Linked DNA regions of Oryctolagus cuniculus. The protein of the gene in region 3 interacts with the protein of the main gene of each other region in a pairwise test. Links are inferred from orthologs where the notes say so. Each region holds a gene or a part of one and is shown on either strand. Other genes may lie near its edges.

Evidence for each region.
Region 1: the proteins of RCHY1 (region 3) and KLHL41 interact in binary tests that used the Homo sapiens proteins (3 or more experiments, as listed by UniProt). The two-hybrid records come from large-scale screens. The link is inferred for Oryctolagus cuniculus from reciprocal best matches to the Homo sapiens genes RCHY1 and KLHL41.
Region 2: the proteins of RCHY1 (region 3) and AIG1 interact in binary tests that used the Homo sapiens proteins (3 or more experiments, as listed by UniProt). The link is inferred for Oryctolagus cuniculus from reciprocal best matches to the Homo sapiens genes RCHY1 and AIG1.
Region 4: the proteins of RCHY1 (region 3) and GORAB interact in a two-hybrid assay, tested with the Homo sapiens proteins (3 studies listed by BioGRID and IntAct). The link is inferred for Oryctolagus cuniculus from reciprocal best matches to the Homo sapiens genes RCHY1 and GORAB.

The regions. Positions count from the first base shown.
Region 1 is NC_091434.1:71,567,364-71,573,133, forward strand, and holds part of KLHL41 (kelch-like protein 41), read right to left. Parts: intron 2,021-5,770; coding exon 1,835-2,020; intron 281-1,834; coding exon 134-280; intron 1-133. UniProt on the Homo sapiens protein: Involved in skeletal muscle development and differentiation. Regulates proliferation and differentiation of myoblasts and plays a role in myofibril assembly by promoting lateral fusion of adjacent thin fibrils into mature, wide myofibrils.
Region 2 is NC_091436.1:25,488,956-25,494,725, reverse strand, and holds part of AIG1 (androgen-induced gene 1 protein), read left to right. Parts: intron 1-1,281; coding exon 1,282-1,437; intron 1,438-5,770. UniProt on the Homo sapiens protein: Hydrolyzes bioactive fatty-acid esters of hydroxy-fatty acids (FAHFAs), but not other major classes of lipids. Show a preference for FAHFAs with branching distal from the carboxylate head group of the lipids.
Region 3 is NC_091439.1:90,385,838-90,392,156, reverse strand, and holds the start of RCHY1 (RING finger and CHY zinc finger domain-containing protein 1), read right to left. Parts: upstream 3,839-6,319; 5' UTR 3,430-3,838; coding exon 3,340-3,429; intron 1-3,339. Other genes in the region: THAP6 (THAP domain-containing protein 6), read left to right, coding at 4,492-4,571, 5,720-5,927. UniProt on the Homo sapiens protein: E3 ubiquitin-protein ligase that mediates ubiquitination of target proteins, including p53/TP53, TP73, HDAC1 and CDKN1B. Mediates ubiquitination and degradation of p53/TP53; preferentially acts on tetrameric p53/TP53.
Region 4 is NC_091438.1:28,442,179-28,447,948, reverse strand, and holds part of GORAB (RAB6-interacting golgin), read right to left. Parts: intron 2,549-5,770; coding exon 2,408-2,548; intron 1-2,407.

The DNA.
Region 1 (5,770 bases), on a different chromosome or scaffold from region 3:
TGTCTGGTCTATAACCAAGAAGTAGCCTGCATATTGGAAAAGTCTGGCTTATTATTTGCTACAGAATTATTGCTCAATTTTCATTTATCTGATTTAATATCTGGTTCTGAAAATGAGAGTGAAGAGAACTTACTTCCATATGTCATTGACTTCAGTGGGTGCAAACTCTTTAGATTCCAGTTGAATCATAGCAAAACCACCGATGGCATACAGAGATCCAGCCAGGCTGACCAAACTGATGGAGCTTCTTTCTTGGGGAAATTCAGTCATTACTTCCCATCTGGGTATTATTGAAAATATAGTGAATGTAAAACTTAACATATTAAATGTATTTACTGAACAGGAAATACTTTAAAAATTCAAGTAGCATAAGCATCTAAAAGTAGAAGTTTACAACTAGAAAATATTTTAAAATTCCTTAAATTTGAAAGATGTAATAATCATATTAAATAGAAAGCTTTCAATAGATCACACTTAGAATATTTCATGATTTAGCACCTTCAGCAGTGGTTGCCAAACTATTTGTCATAAACAGTGGGGTTCTGTGGCCCACATTTGAATACTAATACAAACATTTAAAAACTCTTAATTTCAAGCTTTTCTCAAGAACTCTCCAATCCTTTGCAATAAAGGTATATGATAAAGATAGTTTTGAAGCTACGGATGGAGATGGTAAATTTACTTTTAATGACTTGTACTTTACAATATAAAGGTTTTAGGAGAACTTTTTAATGTTAACAGCCATCTGAAATAGGACAACTGAAGATAAAATCAACCACATTGGCTGGAAGTTTCAAGAACTGGGAATGAGTTAGTCATGTGGTAGCTCTCCACTGCATTACCCCAGAACTATAGTTCTAAAGAACTAAAAACCTCATAGTTTTTCTTTAAACCTATTTTTATTAACCATAAAAATAATACATATACACTATAAAAATCTAGGAAGTACAGAAAGTTATAGAAGAAAACAAATACCCTCATTATCATAGTTTCCAGATATAATCATAAGTAACATTTTGGTATAGCTTGTCTTTTTATTAAAAAAAAAAGGATATAGGTATCCAAACATATGAAGAACTCTAGGAACAGAGGATTTACAATTTTGTGCTGCTTCTTTAACTTTTTATATTATGAGTGCTTAACTAATATACAGTCTTAAAATATGTTTTAGTGCTCTTTTAGGTTCTATTACATAAAAGTTGCTTGTGACTTTCAGTTATTATTTTGTAGTCAGACATACATAGTTTCTAAAAAAACTAGTAACAGTACTCTGATTTTTAACTTATTGCTAAACTATGAAAGTATATACTCATCTAGATGTGTGGGCACAAAGATTCTGAAAAAATTAATTTTATATAAGAATACCAAGTATTTTTCATAGTGTTGCTAAAAGCTTAAAAAACAAGCTTTAAAAAACATCTAAAAAACATAAAGAAACCAAACTTCTGAAGCATTCATACTTAATATCAGTCATTAATAAGATATTCTCATCTTTAATGAAACTACATATTTCCAATTGAATAACTCCACAGAGACATGTATATCCATCTACATGAACACAGTTATTCAGAAGTGTTACCTTAGCATGACTCCATTCACACAGTTAACACAAGTAAGGACGAGCAAGGCATGCCAGCATCAACTTGAGGGTCACACTCGGTGCATCCAAATGTTAGGAGTTTTACTCTCAGTTGCCACAGAAGAAACCCTCATGAAAATACTCCCCTTAAATTGATGACTCCCTGCCCCTAGCCCTGCCACATGCTAACTGAAAGCTTAATTTTTATCAGGTAACAACTGAAATGCACAGTGACTGTGAGATTCAGCAACTCACTTATTGGTTGTGAGGTCAAAAGCTTCCACTGCAGCTGAAAGACCATCCTCAGTGACACCCCCTGCGACCACGATCTTGCCTTTGTGGACCGCCACTCCAAACATGGAACGCGGGGTTTTCATCGGAGCCAGGTCTTTCCAGTCGCCTTTTTTGGGGTTGTAGATGAACACTCTGTTGGTACACTTTCTGTAATCAGAAAAGAAAACAAATATCCATTTTAAAATATTTTTTGAAAGCAACTTCAGTAGTAAGTTGGCATTGGTTCTCCTATAAAGTATGTAGTGTGACAGAGGACCAGAAAAACTCCACAGAGTTCTTAACGTGAACATTTGCTGCTAGGTAAAGGACAATCCAAATGTGGAAAGCAAAACTATTTTATAAAGTAATTAGCTGGGGGGCTGGTGCTGTGGTATAGCGGGTCAATCTGCCACCTGCAGTGTTGGCATCCCATGTGGGTGCTAGTTTGAGTCCCAGCAGCTCCTTTTCTGATCCAGCTCTTCGCTATGGCCTGGGAAAGCAAGTGTTTGGGTCCCTGAACCCTTACAAGAGACCCTGAAGAAGCTCCTGGCTCCTGGCTTCATATTGGCCCAGCTCTAGGTGTTGCGGCCATTTGGGAAGTGACCCAGCAGATGAAAGACCTCTCTCTCTCTCTCTCTCTGCCTCTGCCTCTCTGTGACTCTGCCTTTCAAATAAGTAAGTCTTAAAAATAAGTAAATAATTATTCTACTTCTAGGCAACCACTTAGGAGTTCAGGAACAGCAGATTCTAATTCTATCTGCTAATAAATTCAATGGAAAACTTTGTTTTTATGCTAGTTGGGTGGGAAAAAAATCACAAATCCTTTATTATGCCTCAGTAATAAGAAATATTAATTTATTAATTTCATTATTTGAATGTTTTAGGAATGAATAAGTTAACTTAAAAATAATCAGGTGGGAGGCTGGCAGTATGGCACAGCTAGCCACAGCTTATGACACTGGCATCCCACATGTGAGTGCCAGCTTGAGTATTTGCTGGTCTGCTTCCCATTTAGTTTCCTGCTATTGTGCCTGGGAAGTCAATGGATGATGGCCCAAGTGCTTGGGTCCCTGCCACCCACCCAACAGGGGAGAATCTGGATGGAGTTCTGGGCTTCTGGCTTCCCTGGGGCCATTTGGGGAATGAACCAACAGATGGAAGATCTCTGTGTCACTCTGTCAAATAAATATTTAAAAATAATAGTAATAGGCAGATGAACACATGCCTATTTTACACTTAACTAATACAATCTCTCATTTTATTTACCATTAATACACAGATGCATTTTAAGAAATGTTGGATATACATTAGACAATGTAGGCATCTGTGCTGATGAGTGATGAGAAGAGTTTTATGTACTAAATGCTCTCAGAAAACCCTGGATTCATCTGAATTATTATTCTTAGTAAAGTTACCCATTACTTAGTGATGAGAGTTCAGAATTCCAAATAATGATTTAACTCTATATATAACAAAGAAATGCTCCAAGTTTTTGTGAGGACAGCTGTTTCTTTCTTCCTTTCTTCCTTTCTCTCTCTCTCTCTCTCTTTCTTTCTTTTGAAAGTCAGAGTTACACAGAGAGAGAAGGAGAGGCGGCGGGGTGGGGGGTGGTGGGTCTTCCATTCCGCTGCTTCACTCCTCAAATGACCATAATGGCCAGAACTGAGCTGATCCAAAGCCAGGAGCCAGGAGCTTCTTTCAGGTCTCCCACCCAGGTGCAGGGCCCCAAGGACTTGGCCCATCCTCTATTGCTTTCCCAGGCCATAGCAGAAAACTGGATCAGAAGAGGAGCAGCTAGACTCGAACTGGCATCCATATGGGGTGCCGGCACTGCAGGCTGGAGCCTTAACCCGCTATGCCACAGTGCTGGCCCCAGGACAGCTGTTTCTTAATCTTATAAAAGGCCAGGTACCTGCAACAGAGGCATTCCCTAATACTAACTATGGGTATCACTTGAAAACTTCTTGGGGCTGGTGTTGTGGCATAGCAGGTTAAGCCACCACCTGGAATGCCAGCATTCCATATTGGCACCAGTTTGAGTCCCAGCTACTCTACTTCCAATCCAGCTCCCTGCTAGTGTGCCTGGGAAAGCAGTGGAGGATGATGGCCCAAGTGCCTGCACCCACGTGGGAAATCCAGATGGAGTTCCAGGCTCCTGGCTTTGGTTTGGCTCAGCCCCAGCCATGTGCCCATTTGGGGAGTGAACCGGAAGATGGAAGATCTCTCCCTCTCTCTTTGTAATTCTGCTTTTCAAATAAATCTTTAAAAAACAAAAACTTCTTGATAAGAACATGATACAAAAGAATGTTCTTCAAATACGTTAGCTATAATTTGTGCAATTCAGTCTTTACTTTTAGATAATGACTCACTCAAAGTTCTTGATGTTGACATTTGTCAAGCAATGTTGTCTTGGTTAATCATACTGTCAAGATTAATATATTCTCATGACAAGAACCGCATGCTTCTTTCTGACATATCATTTTCCTAGTTACTAATGCTACTCGAAGGAAACAATTTAAATCATTTTTGGAAGGGCTCCTGGGTTTCTAAAGTCAGAACACTGCTTAATGGAGATTTTCTATGCCACTTACTCAGGAAATATGCCCAAAATAAGATCTGGCACTAGGTGGTTTATAATATACCTTTGTTTAAATATTCATTTGATGGGAATAGCTGGGATTAAGGAAGATACCAAAATTTCAGAATATATTATTTTTGAATATCAACAGATTGTATGAAAATCGTTGCTTTAAAAATTTGAGAGACAGAGAAACAGGGAGAAAGTGTGAGAGAGGGAGAGAAAGAGCTCTCAACCACTGTTTTACTCCTCAAGTGCCTGCAGTGTCCAGGGGGCTGGTCTAGTCTGAAGCTGGGAGCTGGCAACTCAGTCCAGATGTCCCATGCAGGTGGCAGGAACTCAATTAATTGAGCCATCCCTGCAGCTTCCCAGGGTCTGATCAGTTGGAAGCTGGAATCAGGAGTCAACCTTTTCCAAGACTGGACATCCATGGTAATTAAACAGCCTGGGCAAATGATGACAAGCCAAACTGAGCAGTTTTCAGGGGCAAGAGATGCGATTTCACTTGCTAAACCACAAATGCTTGTTTTAGCAGAAAGCCTACTAGTTAAACTGCCTGACTTCTGGAGTACTGCGAATGCACTTTTCCGAGTTATAAGATCTCTTTCTCAATTATCTATCTCTTGAGAAGCGCCTAGGTATCAAATTAGCCATATACATGAAACTTCATCCAGGTATTTTGACAAGAGCCTGGGCACTAGTGGCAACAGCAGCGATTATGTGTTCTGGTTGATTAGTGCCTGTTTTTGAGCAGTTATTAAATATATTGAATATCCTGTCAGGGAGTGAATACGTAAAACATCGCTGAAGAAGTAACTGTCCTCTTTCCAGTCACTGTACTTTTCAGTTTCAAACTGACCAATCTAAATTCCCTTTTATGAACATAAAGTACAAATCCATGATACTTTTAGTGCACTATTATTTTAGTAGATATATTTTAAATGCCATATTAAAAAGTACATTAAAGTTTTTAATCTACTTATGGCTAAGTGAATAAGAAAACCAGTTAGGTTCTATATAGTAAATAGGAGACTAGATTGTGATCCTAGTGCTCTTAGATGCTGCTTTTCCAACATAAGAAAATTTATTATTGAGCTTACCTAGCATGCCTAGTGTCTACACATTTACTCTTGCAACTTCTGAATTTCATAATTTTCCCTTTGGAAACCATTTGTAATATCTTACGGTAACTTTTCAAACCGCTATTTTTGAAATTTTACCTCCAATATATAGTGAATGGGAATCAAGTCCTATTTCAGTATATAGATTTACATGAAAAGAGGAAGAAACTCTTGTAATAAAAATCATTTGGCTATAAATCATAAGGAGGTTTCAGGGCA
Region 2 (5,770 bases), on a different chromosome or scaffold from region 3:
CAGAGCTTTCATCAGTTTTCCACTGCCAATGTGGAAATGTACAAAAAACATACTTGTTGTGTTTTCTAAAGAAGTAATGAGTAGAACTACATCTTTTATAAATATCTCATCTGTAACTTATTTCCAGAAAAAACAGCCAGAAAATTCCTCTTAAATCCATTTTTGGTGCCAAATGGGTATGGTTTTGAGTCCAGGAAATATTATAAGAGGGTACTTCAAAAAGTTTGTGGAAAATATTGACATTAAAAATAAGTTTATTTTGGTACAAAAATGTGTTTAAATCCATGCATAGTTTATGCATAATATGCACTTTCCATGACATTTTTTGAAGATCCCTTTATGTAGGGATTTCAAATTGTTTTTTTGCACCAAAATAAGCTTACTTTAGTTTCATTTTCCCATGAACTTTTTAAAGTACGCTGTGTCTTCTGCCCTTTCCATATTTGAATGATCAGTTGACTAGCTATATTACAGTATGCTGCCTGCCTGCACTCACTGCTCTAGATTGTCAGTTTTCCTCCACTTTAGGAATCTCACAAATTATTGGTCTTTGGTGTATCAGTGTTTCTCACCTTTTTGATCATCCAAGGAAAACATAACTGATGCAAGTGACTCAATCTGCAATTGATTTGAGACTAAGCAACTGATAACTTTTTCTGAAACATATGAAAGACATCTACATTTGCTTTAGAACAATTTTATTTCACAAATACTGAAATCTTGAGGGGAGGTCATTTCATTCAAGTTTGATAATAGAAATTGCTCAGTATTAGAATGCCGATTATTGTGTTCAGTTGGTTTCTTTATGACTGGAGCATCAGCATTCTACCACTTTGTTGTTGGGAAGCATTGTCTAAATCTAAGAGATGAAAGCATAGGAAAGGTTTCTTCACTTTTAGATTGAATTGTCTCATGTATTGTGTTACACCTCACTAGTTAATGTATTCAATATAAGTATAATAAAAGCCATAAATGTGATACTTTAAAATAATGGCTGTGCCAACTTGACCATTGATACTGCTTTCTGTTGGGCCTCTTTAGATGGGTGCATGTTTTTCACTTGTCTGGAGGTGAGTGAAAATGGAAGTAGTGTTTTAAAGATGAGTTTTCTCACCTATACTAGCAAGTTGTAAATATCTCAGGATTTTTTGTTGGTCGGGCCAGTTCTGTAAATGTGATTTTTATCTTTTCTTACTATGCACCCAGTGTGAACATACAGCATGTTCTGCACTTGGCCCTCTTGAGAGTTCACTGACTGAGTCCCACTTTTGTTTCCCACAGGTTATCCAGGCTGTCTTTTTCGGCATCTGTGTGCTGACTGATCTTTCCAGTCTCCTGACCAGAGGCAGTGGGAGCCAAGAACAGGAGAGACAGCTCAAGAAGCTCATCTCTCTTCGTGACTGGATGTTAGCCGTGGTGGCCTTTCCTGTGGGCGTTGTGAGTATGAACACTTTGAATGCATTCAGCCACAAAAGGAACTTGAGTGTTGTTTCAGACTTGTATGAGAAAAACAGGAGATTTGTCTGTTAGTCTTCTGGGACTGCTGTAGCAAAGGACCACAGATTGGGTGGTGTAAACAACAGAGACCAGAAGTTCTGGGGCTGGAAGTCGGACATCAAGGTGTTGGCAGGGTTGGTTCTTCTGAGGCCTCTCTCGCTCTGACTTGGAAAGGGTGTCCTCTCACTGTGTCTCCACATTTTCTTCCTTCTGTGCCTGACTGTGCCCTCATTTTCTCTTATTACAAGGAGAACAGTCATAGTGAGTTAGGCTGCCTTCCTCCCCACTCCAGTGGCCTCATTTAACCTTGATTGTCTCTTTAAAGGCCCTTTCTCCAAACACAGTCACAGTCTAAGGTTCTGGGGTATAAGATTTCAACATATGAATTTTGCAGGGGACACAGTTCAGCTCCTATCTGTTTCCCAAGCAGCTCAGACTTGAAGTGTATGGTCCTTGGCTGATCATTCTAGCGTTTTTGAACTTGGGAGAAGAAATTAATGTTATTTCATACTTCTTCACTCACTCAACTGTACCATTAGCTAATGTCACTGAAGTAAATGCTGCTTAATGTTTGGATCTATAATTTTATTGATTTTCATTGTTTTCTGTTAGATTTCCATCCCATAGTCCAATCTCCTTCATGAGTCTATGAATTTTCCACTGTCTGCATGTGAACGAGATGCTTTAAAGGGCCCATGAGACTATATAGATTTTTATCTATGTGTAGCCAGGAGAAGAATAAGAGAATTCTTGTATGTCTCAAATCATGAGGACAAGTCAGAATTTGTTACATAATTCAAAATCAGACCTTTCATCCACCCATTGATTTCTTGGAAAATGGAAGCACCAGTCACATGGTCTTGCATCTGTGCCAGTTCCAACACTCATGGTGGGAAGAGTCAGAAAATTGTTCTCCTACTCTTTCCAGTAGCTTTTATTCATATTTTCCAGGTCTGTAGCTGGCAGGAGCTTTCCCACACTTGCTGCATGAAGACCACCAGTTAGTAGGCACTCACGTTGTCACTCAGTTGCCATTTTAGTGTGTTGAGCTGTATTTTCTTGGTGAAATAGCTCTTAACTCTTGAGATCAACAAAAGGGTAGGGAAGCATTGTGATCTGGTGATACTCTTCTTCTCATAGCTTCATTCTTCTGAAAACCCAAATAAATGGGTGATTGAAACCATCTAGCAGAACTCTCTGTTTAAAATAGCAGGATCCAATGCTCTATGGACTAGTTACTATTTTTTTAACTTACCTAATAAAATTCAAATTGTTTCCATCAGAATGGTTATCTAAGAAAAAATTTCCACTGGCTTAATGTGTAAAGATATGTTTTCTTCTTTTTTTTTCTTTAGAAGACTTATTTACTTGAAAGGCAGAGCATCAGAGAGAGAGAGACAGACAGACACAGACATAGAAAGAGAACTTTTATTCACTGATTCACTCCCCAAATGGGCCAGGGCAAAGCCAGAAGCCAGAAACCAGAAACTCCATCTGGTCTCCCACATAGGTGGCAGCGGCCCAAGCAAGTGAGCCATATTCCACTGCCTTCCTTAGTTGCATTAGCAGGGAGCTGTATTGGAAGAACAACAACTGAGGCTCTAGCTGGCACTGCAGTATGGGATGCCAGGGTCACAAGTGGTGGCTTAACCCTCATTCTGTGCCAAACTGCCGGCTCCAGGACATGCTTTTTGTGTAAGAGAGTTATCTAGAAATTTCAAGTTGTGTGTGTGTGTATGAATATGGTATCAAACTGTGTTTCTACAAGAAGACTCTGTCTTACATTATGAACCTTGCAGCTGTCTTCAGTGGCTCATTAGATGTTAATGACATTTCATTTACGGTAAACTTTTGCACCTTTTTGTGCTTGAGACTTGAGGTATCCGTCAACTTTTGTGTCCTTTCTTCATTTAGCCCACCTGTGTTTCATAGTTTGTAAAGTGAGTGGTGCCTTTATTTATTTTTTTCTTGTTTCATTACATCTGATGTTTTCCTTCATTTTTTACTGGGTGTTGTTTTGATTCTGTTTTAGAATAAGAGAGAGGAATAAAAATACCTTTCTTCCTCACCCTCGTTTTTAACCAGAAGCCACATTTCCATGACAGGTGTGTGTGCGTTTCCTGACAGCAGGACTGGTTTTTGCAGCATTGCTCCCTGGGGCCTGCCATGCTGCCTAGCTCGCAGGAGGTGAACTGTTTTCTTTAAATTCATAGAAGAAATGGAAGAATCAACAGTGTTGAATCAGAGGTGTGCAACTTTGCTGATTTCTTTAGCTCACTTTTCTTTGCTCACTGATATTTCACGGTCATTATTTCCATTTTTCACAATCGTTTGTGATGTGTGAGTTACTTTTCCTTTTACAGTCTCTATCCTGTTATTTTTTCTGAACTTTTAGAAGTTCCTTGGCTACATTTCTTTCTGTTCTCTATCTCTGTCTCTCCTATTAAGAAGAACTTTGGTCAATATTCTCTAGAAATACTGCATTTTCCATGGTTTCTCCTGTTTCCTTCTTACTCTGTCATTTCACTTTATATATGTATATATTCCCAATTTACATCAGATTTCTCCCTCCAGTACATAGAAATTCATTTTGAGTGAAAAAAAATTAACCAATCTCAACAAATGCCTTCTTTTAAGATCTCATTCATTTTATTTCTAAGTTATGTCTATAGAAGATTTGAATGTGGCTATTTAATAAGTATTTTAGCCTCAAGATTTTTTTTAATGAAAACATGTACTTGTGTGAATTCTTGCCCTTTCTCTGAGGTTATCTCCAGCTTTCCTTTCTGTTGAGTCTGTATATTTGCTGTAGCTTGAAAGGTGTCCACATGTCCCTGTGTTCCTTTTTCTGTGTCCTGTACTGCTCAAAAAGGTTTAGAATCCCACTGGAAGTTTATTCATATGACTTGAGACTTCCTTCCTTATTAAAGTGCCAAACCATTCCTGGTGCAAAGCCAAATTGCTTGACGAGGCATCCTTTTTATGATTCCTGTGCCTCCTGGCCAAGAAGGAAGTTGCCCGGCCTGGAGGGCTGATCACGTCAGAAGGATGAGAATAGCAGTGATGCCCAGGACTGGATGGATGCAGCGTTGTAATGCCTGTGGGAATCTGCAGTAGAGAACGCTTTATCATGTGTGCAGATGATTAATGATAACATTTACAAATCAACATCTCTTACTATTTCGGGTGGTGCAGTTGAAATCCTATGGAAACAAACACCCAGTGGAATACTGGGTGTGGCTTGAACATCCTCAGGTAGACAGTGCACAGCCTCAGCTCCGAGCAATCTGGGGCCCCAGAAGTCTCCCCTGCTCTGCCAGGGGACTGCCAGATTCGCTGAGTGGCTTCCTCCACTTCACATTTTCTGCTTGTCAATCGGAAGTTTACCGGGAAAACAAGGTTATTTTTGCTTTATGATGTGGGGCAGAAAGGCTGTGGGCATAGAAAGAGAGCAAAGAATGGTGGCTGAATTTATCACCTCTGCTCAGGGTTCTCTGAAGAGCCTCTTAGCCCCGAGCAAATTTTCCTGGGGCTCCCATTATCTCTGTCTCACCTCAGTTGCAACCAAGGCAGCAAAGACAGACCCGGGTAGGTTATCTAGGTTTTGTGCTTTCTACACTACATCTTCCTTCAGTACCGAGGTTAATTGAAAGTTGACGGTAATTGCTTTATGTGAGCTTGCAGTACTAAATATGATTCTGTGACCCGCAGACCTAATGTATCTATTTCCTGGGCTCTCTTTATTTCAAGGATATATAAAAAATCATGAAGCATTCCAATCAGAGATAATTGGAGTAAAGTTTTGTTTCTGCATAACCTTGAAGGCATCAGGCAGGGTTGCTTGAGTGAGCATCACATGTATCATCCTGATTTCTGTAGATTCCCATAAATGCAAAGCTGGCCTTGATTAGTAACGCTAATGGCCGGAAACCACCACCACTCCCAGTGCCTTGCAACTCATTTTGCAGGGATCACTCAAGGGAGGCTCTTCTTACCACGTGCAGTTTATTTCTGAACCTTGTCACCCTTTTAAAGAAGCATTACAAATAATTCTATGACAATTTTGTGGTCTGGAAGCACTGAAGTTTATTAGGAGCAATCAAACCAAGAATGTCTTCTGTCTCCTGTGAATTTGTTGACTTTTGTGCTGGCGAGATCCCATTATAGTTAAGAAAGTAAGCTTAGGCCTTTTAACCTGAAAAAAATAAATAAGTAAATAAATAGATAAAGCACATGATAGAGTATGAAAGTGTCCCTCTCAGAAACCCCAGAC
Region 3 (6,319 bases):
GGAAGACAATCTCAATAGAAAAGGCTTCTGGTCTTGAGAAATTTTCAAGTTCAGAGAAGCTAATAAAATTTTCCAAAATTTTAATTTTTACAAGAAAGCTTCAACTCAATCACCTGCAATAAACAGTCTTGCTTCCCTCCTTTCCAAGAAAATGTCTGCCAAATATATCCAAGTCTGAATGACTTTCTTCAAGTAAAAAATGCTACTCCTTGAAAAGAACCATCAGTTCCCTTCACAATCCAACTGCACAAGAGGTCTGCCTCAAAACAACCATCTCATTTCAATCTGCTGAAGTACTTGAGGAAAAAGTCCCATTTGGTTCCACAGGGCATTAAAGAGAGTTGATAAAATACTGTCACTGCTTCACTAACAACATTGTAAGAGAAACTGCCCTTTTTTAAAATTCACGTATTTATTTGAAAGGCAGAGTGACAGAGATCAAGAGATCTTCTGTCCACTAGTTCACTGGCCCTTTTTGTTAAAACAACAGGTGTAGCACAGTTCAGTGCCACTGATTTGAGTTATACAAAGGTGTTAGCAGTTTTAGGCACTGATTTTCACCATCACACTGAAAAGGACAGATAATATATCAGCATTGATAGAAAGCAGTTTTGACCTCACAGACACCCTGAAGGGGCCTCAGCGACCCACGGGGACCACTGACCACTTGAACTGCTGCTCCAGTTTCAAGCAGGAAACTTCTCTGCCACCTCTCTTTTCAACTCGATCCCAGTCCTCCCTTGCATACAGCCCAGTTCCCTCCTGGCTTCCTCTGCATAGTTACTGTACCAAAGTCCTCCGGAACCTAAACCGAGTTAAACCCAACTCTCTTCAGCCTTTCTCAGGAACAGCTGAATATGGCTAGAGAAAAAGCATCAGCATACTGCCTGGTCAACCTATCGCAAAAAAGCCTCATCCTCTGCCTTCACTTCTTTCACAAAGAATGTACAGTCCCGGCTTCTAAGGCCAATTGTTTGTGCACAGGATCTCAGCCTCTCTAGCTACTCAAGGCCCGTGCCCCTAGTTTACCCTCTCCCTCCTCCACTACAAAATGTTCTCACTTCTTCTAAGAAAAAACAAACATGTTGTAACACCTCCATCCTTAAAGGGGGGAGGGATCCCATAATCTCACATCTCCCAGCAACCAAGGTCTCACTGTTTTTTTTCTTGCTCTCCTTTATAGCAAAAGGACTGTCTGTAATTCCAGTTTCACTTCTCATGGCATCTCTTGAGTCCACACCAATGAGGCTTACCCCCGTCACTCCACCGCCACGCCTCTTCAATATCACCAGGGACCTCCTTGCCAAATTCAAACTTCAGTTCTCAGCTTTTATCTTACTTAAGCAATGCATTTGATCTAGTTCATAACTCTTGTCTTGAAACACTTTATTTGGCCTCCCATGTTTAGAAGCGAGGAGGGGCCGGCGCCAAGGCTCACTAGGCTAATCCTCCGCCTTGCGGCGCCGGCACACCGGGTTCTAGTCCCGGCCGGGGCGCCGGATTCTGTCCCGGTTGCCCCTCTTCCAGGCCAGCTCTCTGCTGTGGCCAGGCAGGGCAGTGGAGGATGGCCCAAGTGCTTGGGCCCTGCACCCCATGGGAGACCAGGAGAAGCACCTGGCTCCTGCCTTCGGATCGGCGCGGTGCGCCGGCCGCAGCGTGCCAGCCGTGGCGGCCATTGGAGGGTGAACCAACGGCAAAGGAAGACCTTTCTCTCTGTCTCTTTCTCTCACTATCCACTCTGCCTGTCAAAAAAAAAAAAAAAAAGAAGGGAGGAGGAAGGCAAAAAAGTGACACTCGGGGCCAACTATCTGAATGCCATGAAACAGATCTAGTTCTGTGGTTTCTTCAGAGGGGACAGAAGAGTCTAAGATATCAAATTCGTTTTAGATCTCAAGTTTGAAAGAGTAATAGAACATCTCCCGGGCAGGCGCTGTGGCACAGTGGGTTAAAGCCCTGTCCTGAAGCGCCTGCATCCCATATGGGCGCCGGTTCTAGTCTGGCCTGCTCCACTTCCAATCCAGCTCTCTGCTGTGGCCTGGGATAGCAGAAGATGGCCCAAGTCCTTGGGCCCCTGCACCCACGTGGGAGACACAGAAAAAGCTCCTGGCTTTGGATCGGCACAGCTCCAGCCATTGTGGCCATCTGAAGAGTGAACCAGCGGATGGAAGACCTCTCTCTCTCTGTCTCTACCTCTATCAGTAACTCTGTCTTTCAAATAAATAAAGTAAATCTTTTTTTAAAAAGAGTAAAAGAATATCTCAACAGAAATGGAAAGTAAGGATAGCATTCCATTTCCTTACACAACATTTGAACGGCCCCATCCAACACAACGGAACGTTTCCCTAACCATGGCCTACAGAAAAGAGTTTATGTGGTTCGTCCCAGCCTGAGACTACCACCTGTATCTAATGACTCCAGTCAATGACCATCGGCACGGCTGGCTGGTGAAGTGGAACCACCAAAGAATTCAGGACGGCGACTGGGTGATGACAACAGCGGTGGTGCTAGGTCTACATTTACACTCATCCCAGGCAAAGCACCCTGCTAAAACACCATATATGCTCTTTAGTTTATAACCCTCATACTTGTTTATGAAGCGGAACTTCTATCATTCCTGTGGAGCATAAGAGGTATTTAAAACACCAGCTTGCTCCAAATCACAGCGATTAATGGGAACGTCTTCAGATTTGGAGACAGGGCCGTGCAACTCCAACCCTCAACCTTTCTAAGCAAAAGCTACCACTTCTTGCAAGAAAAATCGGGACACTTCAATTGGATGGGTGCCAATTCAAAAACCTCCGGATTATTCAAACAGCAAAAGTCGCCATATATACACACGACGCACTTTTCCATACGTAATGTTCCATTTCACAGCGCTCACACTTCCGACTTCACACACATATTTTCTCCTTCACAGCTCTGGATATTTGCATGGCCTCTCAAATGAAGCTAGCAGGCTCTGAACTATTACCACAGGAGCTGAACTCGTTTTCCAGTCTCCCGTTTCCCACCCTCCTCTCATTATTTCATCACACGCCGGAAGTGGGCCCAGGGGCTACCTCAGTCTACTTCCAGCAGCAAGAGACGAATAAACCCATTGGGAAACGGATTTGCACAAGCCGACCCTCATCCCAAGCAAAAGAGTTTCTGCTTGCAAAAGACCACACAGGGAAGAAATACGGGGCCTATGGTCGCCTGGCCAAAACATTTCAGGTAGCGAGGTAGCCCGACAAACAACCTAGCTTCAAACTCCAAACCCAAGCCTCACCGCCCTGCCCACCCCGCCCCCAGCCCTGCCCGGCGGAAGCTCGTCGGAGATGAGCCCATTGAAGCCGTCACCTTCAAGAGACATCCTCTGTCATAGTGCTCGCAGCCCCGCTGCCCTCGCTGCCGGCTGCGGGCGCCATCTTCCCGCGCCGTCGCCGCCATCTCCACCACCTCCCCTCACACACCACAGACCCTTCCCCCAGGATGCAAACCACGCCCAGAGAAGCAGCGCCGCTCGGGCGCACCCCCTCCCGGCCGCTGCTGCCACCGGGGCCAAGATGGCGGAGGGGCACGTGACCCGGGGCAGGCCGATTTCCGGTTCCCGGGGCGACGGGGCGGAAGCGAGGGGAGACGCAATATCTGTCGTCGATGGTAGTCGCTGTCTTCGCTGCGAACGGTAATTACTCTTATGTCGCTGCTGCTTTGCTCCGCATCGCTGCCGGCCCGAATTCTGGAGCACGTCTCGGAGCGAGGAGGACTGCAGCGGCGCGCAGACGCCAGCTGGCCCTCGAGGAAGGGGACCGGCACCTGTGACAGGGCGGCCCCTCCCTCCCTCGGGCGGCCGGGAGCCTCGAGAAGGGGGCGGAGCGCCGCCAGGCCTGGAGCTCGGGAGCCGGGCCGTGCGCGCGCCGGCGCCGCGACCTGCTGCTTGCTCCCGTCCCCTTCGGCTCTGCTCGCTCTTGCTTCAGTCATTCATTCAGTGTATTCACGTTGACTGTGGGCCCCGTCCGCGGCTGAGCCGTGAGGACGAAAAAGTGAAAGCATAGACGGCCCCACCGCCCCCTCACGCAGCGCCCGGCCGGGCGGGGAGGAAAACTTTGGTCAGAGTCGCGGGGGTAAATGTAGAATGACGGCCAAGTGCGAGGGAGAAGCGGGGGCCTGGGAGGCCCGAGGTGCCAGGCACTGACCGGAGCCGGGTGCCCGGGTAGGCGGCCAGGCGAGCCGCGGTTAGCGCGCCAGGAGGTCTTGGGGGGCGCGGGGCTGGCCGTGTGCAAGGCTCCAGAAGTGCAGGTAGACCCCTCACCTTATGAAAGCGCCAAGCCCCCGGAACATTTGATGCGCAGAGCTGCAGGGCTTGGAAGGGAACATTGGCCTTCGGCTTTGTCGCGTTGTTACATGTGTCCTAAAACGTCCTGGGAGAGGTGAGGAGGCTCCCAGGCTGCTCTGAAGTCACTAACTTCGCGTATTCCTGTTCTTTCAGTTCCTTGATGAGCTGCTAAAATCATGGTGAAATGTTGCTCTGCCATTGGATGCGCTTCCCGCTGCTTGCCAAATTCCAAATTGAAGGGACTGACGTTTCACGTGTAAGATTCGGCCATGGTTAAGCAGAGTGCTGTTGACGGATAGAAAGCCAAGATCGTTCTGTTGAAGTATTCAGTTTTGAACTTGAGTGCCCAAGTGCTTTTAAAATCACCTTTTCAGTTAAACTTGAAGTGACAGTGACAACCTTACACTTTTGCAATGTAGTTTAAGATACCTGCCAAGGTTTTCAAGAGACTAGTTAACAAAATATATATATATCCAAATCAATTTGCTAATATTACTTTGCATTTTAACATACCTTCAAGGAAATTCAGTGTGGCTTATATGTAGTTGACAATCTGAAGGAAGCTGCTTTGCTCAAATATATACTGTCTTTTCTGTTTAGAAATAGACCAAGGATAGGTTGTAGGAAAATAAATTACATGTTCGACCGAGGGTTGTTTAGCTGCATTACAGGTAAGTCCAGATGATCCTAATTTAGTGTTTTAGCTATACTCCTCACAACCGCAGGAGAGAATGAGCAATAAGATTTTAAAATGATTCATTTCCTGAAGATTTATTTTGCCACTTACGTGTCAGGCACTGTGCTATCTGCTAGAGATTTGCTACCCACATGTACCCTACTGTATTCCAAAAAAGATCTGAACCAGCTTGGAAAATTTAGAAATTTATTGGCGTCCAGATCTCTCAAAAAAGGTCTGATCCCCAGAACTCCAAACTCTGCAACTTCTCAGTCACCAAGCATTTGTAGACCTGCTGTATATTAAATGCTGGACTAAGAAATTTTCTTGTGCTACAGAAAAATGAAAGTACAAGGAGCCCTATTCACCAGAGAGAAAATCTGGAAATCACTTCAGATAGGAAAAGGCTAAGGGACATTCTTTATCACTTATGGATTAAGAAAAACCTTTCAACTGTGGATCTTAATATAAAGTGCTGAATATCCATTGAAATTTTTCTTCCTTAGGCGAAGAATTGAAATGAGGGCTACAGTCTACAGCATAATTGGCAGAAAATCTGAACATTAAAATTGAGATTTATGAAAACATAAAACATAGTTCCCTGAATATTTCAGTTCCCAAGAGTGGTAACAAACTAGTGAAGGAATTAATTCAGCCTTAGCCAGTTATATAAGACAGATTTAATTCAAGTATATCCATACTGTTTAATTTTTAATATTCTTTTCTAGATTCCCCACAGATGAAAACATCAAAAGAAAATGGGTATTGGCAATGAAAAGACTTGATGTGAATGCTGCAGGCATTTGGGAACCTAAAAAAGGAGATGTGTTATGCTCAAGGCACTTTAAGAAGTCAGATTTTGATAGAAGTACTCCAAATATTAAGTTGAAACCTGGAGTCATACCATCTATCTTTGATTCTTCATTTCACTTAAAGGTTTGTTTATGAGATTCTGCTTACCATCATTACTCACTTTTTGGGTGCTGTTAAAGAACCTTCACCACTCTGCTAACATTTTTATTGTTTGCTGTTCATCTGAAATCCATTCTTCCTTATTTAATGTGTAGGTTGTACCTTAAACTTTTAAAATGTCTTAGGTACAAAGAAGTATTTTATAAGGAGCCACTGAAATATTTGTACATTACTAAAGTTTGATTAAGTTAGTGTTGACTTTAGGAGTTGGCATAATTCAAGATTTGTGACTAAAAAATGGAGATTATGGGTAGGCCTTTGATCTAGTGGTTAAGATGCTAATTACCAAGCCCACACCCTATATCATTGTTTGTAGGTTTGATTCTTGACTCCAGCTCCCTATTCCAGCATCCTGC
Region 4 (5,770 bases), on a different chromosome or scaffold from region 3:
GACAACATTGTAGACATGGCTATAAGCAGCAGCCTCATGCTGGTCTCATCAGAGGGGTCTATCCTAACATCGCTCCACAGAAAACAATTTTAAAGTGAATTCGGCATATTTACTATTCAAGAACCTTTTGTGGACACTGCATTATACCAGGTACTACAGAACTAAGGTATCACTTTTATTAAAAAGAAATGAAGTTCCTACAGAAACTGGAGATTACCTCACACTAAAAACTGGATCATATTATATTACCAATATGCAATTTTTCAATAACCATAAATGTAAATTCAGAAAATGTTGCCCTAAACTTATGCTTGAAACAAACCCAACCCTAGTTCTAATCACAATTATCTATGGTTTCTCTTTGACCTAAGACAAGAGCTTAGGCTTTTAACAACAGCCTCATATAGTATCCAATTCTATCCAACTACACATACATTAAGTATCAATACCATGAGAAATTGTCATCTATAGATTATTAAAGATGCAAAAAATATATTTTTGCTATGTAAAAATATGTCAAAATTTCGTTAAGAATATTCATACATTATGGTATATATTTTGCTTTAACTAGTAATTCCACCTTCTCTGTGGTTCTCTGAAGGCCTAAACCAAGGCATTTTTATATAACATTCAATATGCAAAGGCATCCTTCTCCAGTTTCCACTAGGATAGAATTAAAATGTTAATCATATTATTTTTCTGTTGAGGTACTCAGCACTGGTTCTTGTACTATGAACTATTCATATAAAAGGCTGGCAAGGCATAAAAATGCTCCTCTGGCTAACTTATGTTACAGAAAATAAAAGTGTAAAAAATCAAAGCTTACTTTAATCTTAAAATCTTGGTTACCTTCTTAATGACATTATTAATAAAAATCTGGAACTTCTAGTTATGAGCTACTGATGGCATTACTTTAGGTTGTTAATTAATAAAGACAATTCATTAAGTCAAACAGCATATGGCCATACAACAATTCTAAAAATCACAAGGACAACCACAGACCTTTTTCTTAAACACCAAACAGTGAATTAAAAACCACAATCAAGCATTTCCGCTTTATTAAATTGTTATATAAACATTCTGATGTTGTGGTTTACCCTGGACTAATGAGGCATTCTGATTGATTTCTAGTGTTACAGAGAAAGATGCAAAACTGAGTTATTAACACAGCATTTTCTTGTGAAAAAAGACAAACCCAGATGATTAAAGCAATGTTGAAGGGACAAAAACCCTGAAATAGTACATTTTTTTGCCCTTTTATCTGTTTGCAAAGTCCATGTAATTCTTTACATGTGTCAGTTCATTTAAAAATACTCCATGATGAGTTTTTTCTCTTTGAAAAAATGCCAATGGTTGAAACCAAGGAAACATATAATATCAAACCATTTTGTACATACTATGGGTGAAATGGAAAACATAAGGGAAAGAAACTGTGGGGCTGATGTCGTGTCATAGTAGGTTAAGCCTCCACCTGCAGCACCAGCATCCCATACGGGTGCTAGTTCGAGTCCTGGCTGTTCCACTTCTGCTCCAGCTCCCTGCTAATAGCCTAGAAAAACAGTGGCTGGCTTTGGATTGGCCCAGCTCCAGCCATTGGAGCCATTTGGGGAGTGAACCATTGGATGCAAGCTCGCTCTCTCTTTCTGTAACTCTGCCTCTCAAATAAATAAAATAAATCTTTAAAAAAAAACCTGCAAGTTCCAAGAGAGGTATTTTCTTTAAAATATTCATAAACTTTTAAAAACTAACCTATATGGCCCAAGTCCTTGGGCCCCTACACCCATGTGGGGGACCCAGAAGAAGCTCCTGGCTCCTGGCTTCGAATCAGCACAGCTTCAGCCTTTGTGGCTATCTGGGGAGTGAACCACCGATGGAAGACCTCTCTCTCCGCCTCTGCCTCTCTGTAACTCTTTCAAATAAATAAAATAAGCAAGCAAGCAAGCCTAGGTTTTCTTACTATGCTGAAGACTAAAATGAGAAAAGTTCCAATCCCATAAAGATCATATCAAATAATCAAAAATTTTAATGGAAACAGCATAAACGTGGTGATAGAGTAACAGAGTTTTGGGTGCAAGTCATTCAGACATTTACACTGATAAATCCTGAAAGACTAAAGAGAAAGTCTCAAACATTCAATTTCTGATAGTTTACCAACAAAGATTGAAATGTAAATAAATAATATAAGAAATGCTTTAACAAGCATATGAACAAGGTTAACTGGTAGAGTTAAGGAAGGCTACACAGAGGAAAAAGATACTTGAATGAGAACCACAGAGGAGTAAGTGCCACACCTACGGAGGCTGATACGAGGCTTAAATGATGATATACGTTAAAGCTACTGGTCCAGCTAGCAATATGAATTATTTAAGTCAGATTCCTTACTCTGAATTCAATCTTCCCAACTCACCGGGCATATGAATAGTCGAGACTGGCCTGATCAATGCGGTTCCTAAGGATTCCAATGTCAGCTGATACCATGTCATCCAAAGCCTGCAACTCTTTCTGGATCCGCTTTAGTTTCATAGTCTCTGCCTGAGTTCTTTTAGATCTAGAGAATAGCAAGGTGAGTGGAAAAAATAAAAATGTTAACATCATGTATCCAAAGACAATGTAAGTAAAAAAAGTAAGTCACTGTGTATATAATTCTGAATTTTTAAAAATTAGAAAAATCAGAAAAACTAAACACTGGTAACATTTTGGTATATCTCAAAGACTGCATTTGAGCTTTTCCCCAAATATACCAAATTTTCTATTAGTGCCCATTTTTTTGTTTAGGATTTATTTATTTACTTGAAAGGCAGAGTTAGAGAGAGAGAGAGGTGGTAAGACAGAAAGATAGAGAGAGGATCTCCTCAAAACCAGGAGCTTCTTCTGGGTCTCCCACGTGGGTAAAGGGTCCCAAGTAGTTGGGCCATACTCCATTGCTTTCCTAGGCAATTAGCAGGAGTGGGATTGGAAGTGCAGCAGCCAGGACTCAAATTGGTACCCATTTGGGATGCTGGCATCACAGGTGCCAGCTTTACCTGCTATGACACAATGCCAGCCCAGCACCTATTATTTTCATGAACAAGGTGAAAAAAATTACCAAAACACAACTCACTTTTGTGCATTTATTCAATCAGTAAGAACAAATTCTGGGGGCTGGTGCTGTGGCACAGTAGGTTAATCCTCCGCCTGCAGTGCCAGCATCCCATATGGGTGCCGGTTCGCATCCCGGCTGCTCTACTTCCAATCCGGCTTTCAGCTTATGGCCTGGGAAAGCAGTAAAAGATGGTCCAAGTACCTCAGCCCCTGTACCCCTGTGGGAAATCCAGATGAAGCTCCTGGCTCTTGGCTTCGGATCAACCCAGCTCTGGCCGCTGCAGCCATCTGGGGAGTGAACCAGTGGATGGAAGACCTTTCTGTCTTTCCCACTCACTGTAACTCTAACTCTCAAATAAATAAATACAAAATTAAAAAAAAATAACAAACTCTGGCAAAAATGTGTCTATATTCCCTTTGTACTGACACATCCAACACAGCTTTCCAAAGATCTATCTTACATTCCTCTTCTTGCTAAGCCTGTTTTCATTTTGATACTTAAAGATAATCAAGAACAGATACCAGGGACTGAGTTGTGGCTTAGTGGGTTAAGTTGCTAGCTGTGAGGTCAACATCCCATATTGGCATTGGTTTGTTTCTGGTTGTTCCACTTATAATCCAGCTCCCTATTAACATGTAGGGGAAAGCAGAGGAGGACAGTACAAGTATTTGAGACCCTGAACTCATGTGGGAGACCAGGATGACGCTCTTGGCTCCTGGCTTCAGCCTGGCCCAGCCCTGGCCATTGAGGTCTTTTGCAAAGTGAACCAGCAGACAGAATATCGCTGTCTGTCTCCCTCTCTCTGTAACTCTGCCTTTCAAATAAATAAATAAATCTTTAAAAAAAAATACCTGCATTAAACATTTCTATATAGAGCAAAAAAACCTCTATTTGGTTTTTGGGACCCATTTGCCCAAACCTTTTTTACTTTTTTAAGATTTATTTATTTGAAAGGCAGAGCTAGAGAGAGAGAGAGAGAGAAAGAGAGAGAGAGAGAGAGAGAGAGAGAGAGAGACAGACAGCAAGATCTTCCATCCACTGGTTCACTCCCCAAATGACCACAATGGCCAGAGATGGACTAATCCAAAGCCAGGATTCCTCTGGGTCTCCCATGTAAGTGCAGGGGCCCATGCACTTAGGCCATCCTCCACTGTCTTCTCAGGCTCATTAGCAGGGAGCTGGATTGGAAGCAGAGCAGCAGGGACTCAAACCAGCACCCATATGGGATGCCAGTGCAGCAGGCAGAGGCTTAAACCACTGTACCACAGCACCGGCCCCCGATTTTCCCAAACTTTCAATGCTGTTACTCTTATTCTCAAAACAAGACTAGTGATCCTCAAAACTCTTTGTGGGGCTCAAAATCAAAATACTCTTCTCTCCTTGTTTAAAAGTACAGCCAACCTCATCAACTCTCAGTGCCCTGACCACTTCCAAGTAAAATATACATGTAAGAAAGAGAATAAGCAAAGACAAAAGCAAACCTTTAATCATGACTTCACTTACTTCAAAATTTCACAGGCACTCTCAGGGAGAGCAAAACTTCCTACATAAAACCAGTATCTTGTACCTTACATTCTCCTGGTTTCTATTCCATTATGCATTTACCCTTTCTTTCTGCCTATAAATTTCTTACCAATATAATGCTTTCACTTGAAGTGCCTCACTGCCCACCCACTTAACAATCCAATCATGAATTTCCTTATATTTCTGTCCATGGCAGTGCGTTCTTAGATCTAAAGCACCTAGGGAAGAAGCGCTGAGTCTTTAAATTTTTTTTTGTAAAATCCCCAGTAAACAGCCTCCCAATCTCTTCCAAATTCCAAATTGAAAACTACTAAAATGCTTTCTCATAATCACGTATGGGAGAAAAAAAAAATACGGAATGACTCATTTTTTTTCTTGAAACACAGAAAGACACTGAATCGTACATTTCCTATGCTTCATGTAACCTCAAGGTATACTAGGAGCAAAAAAAAAAAATGAATCATTTTCAATACATACCTCCTTCTGGCAGGTGATTCTCAATTATTTCATACCCATCCTCCTTCCACCTACCTCTACCCCTGAACATACACATACTCTAGCCTTAAAGAAAGGTTTTGCCAGAATTTTTTGACTTTGAAAAGAAAATGCCATTGAATACTCACCTGCATGTAGTTTCCAGTACTGTCATTTCTTGACTAACCAAGCTTAGTTTCCTAAGGCTACAGGAGATTTAGAAATTACAAACCAAATGGTGGTAGGGGGTGGAAAGAGTGGCCCAAATCGGAATGTTGGTGCTCTGTGCTGGCACAACACAGTAAAGGAGAAAGGACTACTGACAACTCTAACACTGAGAGGTGAGAGATAAATGGAGCTCATCATGGTGACCTGAGTCATCAATAAAAGTTAAATTATATAACATATCTTCTACTAGTGGAGGCAGGATACATTATGTAAGAAAAATGCCCACAGAAAACACAATTACGACTTCTGAGTGTATAAATCACTTATGTGGGATAACCCCACTCCTCTAACACAATGGATAACTAAGGTCATTTTGTTAAATTAAAACCTGCATTTGCTAATTTACATGTACTGATAGCTACTTATTGATTTTCTTACAAACATGCAGATAGTTAAAACTGAGGACACTGATACTGATCCTTAAGTTTTGTGTTTTTTTAAAAAAGATTTTGCTTATTTATT